2 linked regions of the Arabidopsis thaliana genome follow. The protein of the gene in region 2 interacts with the protein of the main gene of each other region in a pairwise test. Each region holds a gene or a part of one and is shown on either strand. Other genes may lie near its edges.

Evidence for each region. Proteins that work in one complex are often made in the same cells at the same time.
Region 1: the proteins of SEP1 (region 2) and AT4G05630 interact in binary tests that used the Arabidopsis thaliana proteins (3 or more experiments, as listed by UniProt).

What each region holds. Positions count from the first base shown.
Region 1 is NC_003075.7:2,987,909-2,990,798, reverse strand, and holds AT4G05630 (B3 domain protein), read left to right. Parts: upstream 1-1,976; coding exon 1,977-2,351; downstream 2,352-2,890. Other genes in the region: AT4G05631 (uncharacterized protein), read left to right, coding at 164-229, 611-793.
Region 2 is NC_003076.8:5,150,786-5,155,840, forward strand, and holds SEP1 (K-box region and MADS-box transcription factor family protein), read right to left. Parts: upstream 3,469-5,055; 5' UTR 2,983-3,468; coding exon 2,798-2,982; intron 1,947-2,797; coding exon 1,865-1,946; intron 1,775-1,864; coding exon 1,713-1,774; intron 1,624-1,712; coding exon 1,524-1,623; intron 1,434-1,523; coding exon 1,350-1,433; intron 1,213-1,349; coding exon 1,064-1,212; intron 936-1,063; coding exon 809-935; 3' UTR 549-808; downstream 1-548. UniProt on the Arabidopsis thaliana protein: Probable transcription factor. Functions with SEPALLATA2/AGL4 and SEPALLATA3/AGL9 to ensure proper development of petals, stamens and carpels, and to prevent the indeterminate growth of the flower meristem.

The sequences.
Region 1 (2,890 bases), on a different chromosome or scaffold from region 2:
GCAAACATGAGTTTTTTGTTGACACAAGTCTGTGTTAAAGTTGGTTCACAACTCAAGAAGTGATACTAGAACGTCGATGGTTCGGGAACGTCGGTGTGATTCACATCACAGCTATTTTTTTTCCATCGAAGATATGTTCACTAATGGTTGTTGAAGTGTGAAGATTGGAGTTGTCAAGGTTAGAGCAAGTTTAAAGGGTTCTAAGGAGCAGCTGCGAGGAAGTCTTCAAGTAGAATCAAGACATGTTGATTTTAAGATGCATTGAGGAAACAATTTTTCAAGGAAGCATTGAAGTTGAACGGTGAAGTTCAAGATGAGCGGTGAAGCTCAAGTACCGGAGATGGAATCCAAGAAGCTAGATAAGGAGCGTGAAGAAGATCGATGACAAGGTGGAGATTTGAAGGTTTAGTGTCATCCGATCTCAAGATATATGCTAAAGTGTGATAAGTATCTGAAGCAATCAGAGGGTTTGACCCAAGCTTCCTTCATTGGCTCACGTGAGAAGCACACACGTGAGATTAGTAATAAGTCACAACTAGAAGGGTAAAAGGGTCTTTTATCATTGGCTCTGTATCTTCTTCTTCTCTACTCTTCTTTGAGTATGTAACAGAATGAAACAGATAAGAGAAGCGTGACAACGAGACTACGCAAGTCGACGAGAGACGTGAGCTTAGAGTTAGAGGTAGAGAGAGTAACTGGTTTTGTGTTGGTGAGTGAGAGAAAGCTTGAGAGTGACTGTAATCCGGTGAGCGATTGTAACGGTCACTTGTATGAGCTCGAGTTTGAGCTATGATCTAGTGGATTCCGGAGTCAATCTCCGGCGAGACGTAGGGTTCCACACCGGAACCTGAACTCGTAAAATCTCGGTGTTCTTTGTTTGCGTTTTTTCTATTTTCTTTCAAATCCCTAAACTAAGTCGCAAGTTCTAATCGGAAATTATAGATTAGGCTTCACAATAATCTTGTAAAGTTTCTTAAACAATCTCTCTATTTTGATAATATTTTTCATTACTTTTTATGACTTTATTTTGTAAACAAAAATATAGAAAGTCATGAACCAATAACATAATAATTTAAATCATTAACAATAAGAGATTCTTTTGTTTTAATTGAATACCACAAAACTCTTACTGACTTTATAAGAATATGAATCCAATAACCCCAAATTTATGAAGATTTTAGATTACTTTTTACAAATCTTAAATGAATAACACAAAACATTAACATAGTTTTATATTATCTTGATTGAATAACAACATATTTTACATGACATTTTAAGTCAATAAAACTCCTTTGAAATCATAAACCAATAATATCCCCTAAAACTTAACTATTACTTTTGTTGAAAGAGAAAACATGTTCAATTAATAATGAATCTATTATACTCATGAAAATATTGTGTATATATATTCTAACATATAATTCACTGATTAACATATTACCCATATTTCTAATGAATGTAATTAAAGTTTATGTGCCACAATAGTTTGGTCAAAAAGAAAAACTATTTATTGTCTTAAGTAAAAAAAAAATCTTACAGAATCTTATAGAGTTAAATTTGCAAGCTCACAACTACATGAGCCAAAAAAATGTCAAATACTTAAATGACATTTACTTCAAAACTTTTTGATGTTAAGTCAGCCTGTCAAAATTTATTTCACTTTAACACGTGTTAGAATTCAATAACTACAAAACTATATATGTCATAATATTATGAAACTATATATCAAACAAAATTAGTGTTATTTGGGTAAGACAAAACATATTCAATTAATTAATTTTAATCTAACTTGAAAACATAGTATCTCTCTATTGGTATAAGCTCTTAATTACAATTAACCACGTACATAAGTACAACTTATTGTCACTATATATACCCTTAACACAAACAAATATTTTTATACAAACCTTGCATAAGCCTTTACGGAGTAAGGAACATTGAAACCCGATTTTTCATATATCTTTCTGTTCTAACTCATGGCGAATTTTCCAGATAAGCAGTATGACTCAAACAACCCATATAACATCATGATAACGTTGTCACCATTTGACGTCGATAGGAGTACTACGATAATGATGCCAAAAGCGTTACTAGAAACCAATTTATTTCCTTTCATGGAGATAAGTACTCTCGTCCAGTTGTTACAAGTTCAAGACAAGCCAAAGATGATTGGAGTGTATGATATTGATACTCAAATTACAACATATGTAATCATAAGACAAGATGGAAATAATTTTAAATTTCATGGATGGAATGATATTCTAAAAAGAAAACATTACAAAGCAGGCGATACTATTGCATTTTGGTGGGATCTTCGTCATACTAGACTAAATTTCAAACATGTTGCTTAATTGATGGAGCGAATCTTCACAACTTCATTTCTCGGATATGCATCTATACCGGGTTTGTCTGATCGAGTCCAGTTTGTTGTCGTTTTATTATGTTGGTTTAATTCCTGTTTCTAGAGAACATGTTTTTCTCTTATATTTATAAATATATATATTTGGATTTATAAGATAATATATGTAAATAATAAAAGAGTCGAGAGAAACAATTTCTCCAAATTTTTTATCTATACATTCAAATTTAATATAATATTTTGATAGTAAATCATAAAAAGGAATTGTTTGTGGTAGAATCATTTGTGTAACAGTTCTCATAATTTGCAATAAATAATAAATCAAGACAGCAAAACAAAAATTAATATGTATTAAAATTTAATTTATTTTAACACGCGTTAATCTAACTAATACAATTTCTATGTGCCTAAATATTTTGGCTTTTAAAAAGGTTATATGCATGTTGTAACAAATCTGATGACATTTCTGAATTATACATAATCGGCATCTAATTTATATTTTTTTTATCAGTTGCTATAATAACTAACTAG
Region 2 (5,055 bases):
CCCTAGAAGCACATGCGTAAAATCTTTACTTGTCTTGTCTATGACAAATATGGCTAATCATTCTTCCTGAAACTCAGAACATTTGAATTATTTCTCATTCATGTTGACTAAAGAATATTTTTTTCTCTGCTGTGAATTCGTCTCATTTGCAGGTGATGGAGTTCCACGAAACACCGTAACTTGTTGCCATTGATCCTGTCTTGTACTGCCTAGACCGGACCTGGGGAGATTGACAAGGCAGCAGAGAGATGTGAATATATTTTTTAACAATATATGATATTGTATATGATGGGGAAATGAGGAAACGTCTCTCTGCACGTTTGGCTTATGGAGTTCTGAGGAAACCCTCTTGAGAGAAAACAACAGCAGCAGCAGAACAGATGCACACAGGAATCTGACATGTTTCTTAGGATTTGCCTTTGGCGCAGTGTTTTGTTCAAGGCATGAAACTTTTTACATCATTTTGTATGATTACTTTTAACCTTTTATGAATTTATGAATATATATGTGATGCTTGTATTTTGGCATATAGTTTACATTGGGTATTTGGGTCAAGGAGAGATCACATTGTAACCCAAATGTTTCTCATTACATGATAATAAACCAGTGTCATGGTTCAGTGTTAAAACAAGTTCCACACATTTGAATTCTTAATATAAGCAAGGATTCCCAAAAGATACAAATGTCTTGAAGATCCTCAGGACCATTATATATAGCCACTTATGTCTACAAATCCAAAGTCTTGTGTCTATACTTTTATATATATAAAAGATCTTTTGTTGGTGAGCTTTAACACAGCACATGACTCTCAGAGCATCCACCCCGGGATGTAACCGTTTCCCTGCTGCGCCTGAGCTTGGGTTGTCGCAGTTATTTGCTCTGAGCATACCGGATTATCATACCTGTCATCATCATCATCATCACCAAAACAGCAACTTAAAAGGTTCACACACATTGATGATCCTCTTTACACCAAGTAACTAAAGAACCTTATATAAGTACAATCTTAGTAGTGAAGTACACAAGCTGATTTGCAGATGATTGTTTAAGGCAAAGGATTTACCCCATTTGCAGAGTTGGATTGCATTCAAGAGGCTGGTATAGTCCCTGAGACTGAGCTTGATGATGCGCGTAGGTAACATTCTGTTCACCACCTTCCCATCCTCCTCCTCCTCCCATATGATGACTTCTCACACCAATCATATCATCCAGCTAAACATTTACATTTCACCAAAAGACTATAATCAGAAACAAGAAAACTAGAGATGTTTCCAAAAATGTTTAGAAACTTAAACTCTGTGAAAGAGATTGATCGCAAGGCACCAAATGCATTTATTCTGTAATTATACCTTCATTGCCAAAGCTCTATTGGTTTCAAGCAACATTTGCTCTTTATTTTGAAGATCCGAGAGCTGGTCAAGCATGTACTGTGTCTGCAAACAATCATCATACCACCATAGTAGTTATAATTAAACAACACAAATTAATCTCATTTGAATCATTGATTCCATGTATAAAGATACCTTGATGGACCGAACTTGCTTGAGAGAGCCGTCCAGTTGACGCTCAAGCTGCTCTAACTCCTTTGAATTCAAAGGTCCTAAATCCTCCCCAAGAAGATTTCTGCACCAACAAAAGCCACACACACCTACAAATATGAATCTACATGGATACAGAATTGAGTAAATATACGGAGGTAGACAGATATGTACCTCTGTTGACGTTGAAGGTTCTCATATCTACCCTTAAGCTTCAGATATTCTCTGTAGCTGTTCTGAAATATTTCACGAAAACAAACTTTTAAAAAAGATCTTTCTTGAAATGATATGATAGGAATCTAAAATAGTATTTGAATTAAGAACACCTCAAGTTCTTTGGCAGGTTTGTTGTTGACTTCAATGGATCCATAGCTGCATTTCTGGTACCGATCAAGTGTCTTGAGCATGCTGAAAATAACTCAAAAAGAGAGAATAAGAGTTTATTAAAAAGATCATACTTGACTTTGGAGATCTAAACCTATAAATCACCATAAAAAAAAAGCTCTTCAAGTTTTAAAGTATTCTTCCATCAAAATTGAAGATTGTTTCCATTATTTATCTGATTATATACGAGTTGATTTGGATTTGATTGTTTCAACTTTCAAACGTAAAGTTTCGTATTTATATTTACAAATATCAATAGTTCAATCCTATCATTTGCAAGCAATATCTTACGTTTTCGTTTGATTCACAAATTGTGATTTGAAAAAAGGAATTAATCGCTATATTTTCTTGAATGCATGTAAGCAAAACTATTTTAACATATAATTAAAAATCTATTAAACATTGTTTTTAAGAAAAAACAAACAATCAAAGCCTTCACAGATATACACGCGTTTGAAGTTTTAACCACCATAAAGTATGATGAACTAACAAATGGTTAATGCATGTAACCATATATTATCATTCTACGTTGGATACTTGTAATTTTCATAGAAATCTGTGAACAACTTTTAAGTTTCCAATCACACAGACATATATTAATTATATAAAACTTTTCAGATTGCATATCAGGATTTGGAATCTATTCGATTACAAAATTCACAGTTCTAAATCATTGACAACAAAAAAACCAGATCTTAAATTTCAAGAATTGGAAAAAAACCCTAGAAAATGAAATCAAGAAATCTAATTAACTCAACTTCGTAGAAATCAAGATCGTGTGATCTATATATAACAAGTCCTTGAGACAAAGATCTAAGCTCAGATCTAGCAAAAACTCAATCAAGAAACTGATAAAGAGTGAGAGAGTTGTTTACTTTGAGGAGCTGCAAAACTCATAGAGCTTTCCACGGTTGGAGAAGATGATGAGAGCAACTTCAGCATCACAGAGAACAGACAATTCATAAGCTTTCTTCAACAAACCGTTCCTACGCTTTGCAAACGTTACTTGTCTGTTGATTTTGTTCTCTATCCTCTTCAGCTCTACTCTTCCTCTTCCCATTTCTTTTTGTTACCTTAATTTCCACTTTTTATGTCTATACACAAATATGGGTATGTAATGTTTATCTATATACAGACACACAAAAACATAAGTTGGGTATCTCTTTTTCAGAGGAAAGATCTGATCTTTTTGAGTTTTTATGGTCTGGAGAATTGATGGTATTTGGAAAAAAGAAATTAACCCTAATTTCAAGAACAAAAGGTACTAGCTTAAGGAAGAAGAAGAGGAAACTTCTGTTTGTCTGATTTTTTATTTATAGGGTTATTGATTCTTTTTCCTCTCTTTAATTGTGTTTGGAAGTGTGTGGAGGTTGTGAAATCTTAATGAAAATTTTGTTTTGAATCAATGGAATCTATTGAGAGCAAAAGATAAGAAATGTGTGAGGGTGAGGTTAGGGTTTGGTGTGTTTTCTCATTTCTAGCCCATCTCTCTGCTTCTTTATTCTTCTTTACTTTCATTCCCACGCTCTCTTTAAGCACGTGTGATACAGTCACCAAATAATTGGCTCTTGTGATACAATTACCAATTAAACTTGTATATATATGTTTATATGTTATTTAAAGGATAAATTTTTATTTCGTATTACTTACTTTAGAGTTTTCATTATAGGGTTATTATTTAATTTGAACATCTATGTGTTTCTCCTCAGGTAGAATTCATGTTTGTGTATATATGGGTGTCTACTATTTATGGAATATTTATACAAAACATCTAAACATATCATTGCTTGAAAATTCTATGTTTATATCATAATAGCAAATTGTTTATGTTTAGTTATATATAACACAACAATAGTACTCTAAGAAAAACAGCATCATGCACGTTTGATGGTTGACTAGTAACTAGACACACGAGGCACAAAGGTTATCAGTTGATTAACATGTGTATGTATATACGGTCTTTCACTTATCACATTACAAACTTGAAAGTAAAATTTGTTTAGCGATATTAAGAAAGTTTATATATAGAGACCTCGTACTAGCTGGAAATGTATATCTAAAATGAAAGTACACTCCCTCTTACATACAGTTTAATATATTTTCAACATAAAACATATGTACATAGTACTAGCTTATTTTTTAACCAAAACTTTTGGGTTTGATAGTTTAACAACTCGGTCAAGAATCTCATATTTTCTTACTTCAAATAATTGCCAATATATTCTAGTTCTTTTTGTTTTTAAATTATACCTGGTAATTTTCTAACGAGAGTCTCATAATTGCAAGTTGTAGTAGTCTTGCAGCTGGATATGAAGCGCGTGAATTAAAACTAAATAATACTTACAATAAATGAAAGCAACGTATCATATCATTTTCTAGTTGTTTTCAGAAGCCGCAGAAAAGCATCTTCTACCTTAAAATGGGTTTCCATGTGTCGATGCCTTATTGGATCATACTTTCTTACTTTTTAATTCAGTTTAAAATAAATTGAAAAATGAGATAAACATTTAAGTGGTTCAATTATCATAAAAAACACTAAAACTGATAAAATAGCCACATAATATAGGTCATATCAAATAAATGAGAAATAATATTTGTATGCCTAAATCAAGTTATCCATGTTTGAAGGTGTTTGCAGTGAGGTATATATGTTTTTGTCTAATAAAGATTACAGTTATGATTATGTAACATAAATTAGATAATATTTACAGCTCGCGATACACTACAATTGAAACGTGGTTAATTAGTGAAACTGAAATTTGAAGAAGAGGATGAAATATGAATGATATTCGTTAAAATGATCTCTTAGATTGTATAGTCATTGTCCCCCATTGCCAAAAGATCAACCACTTACATAAAGTAAAACGCATCTTTAGTTAAAAGCTAACCAAAAGAGTGGAACATATTTATTTTTGGATTGCATTTGCGAATTTCATCAATATATGGTTTTGTTCAATTGGGAAATTTAAATAACTCCACTAAAATGTACAAAGTAATTTTTTTTCGACAAAGAATCTATGAAGCTAAAAAATCTACCCATAAGTCACTTTTAGCAGAAATACCACCATATAGACAAGGGATTATTGTTGATTTTGCCATTTTTTATAGAGATCTTTTGAAATTGCCATTTTTA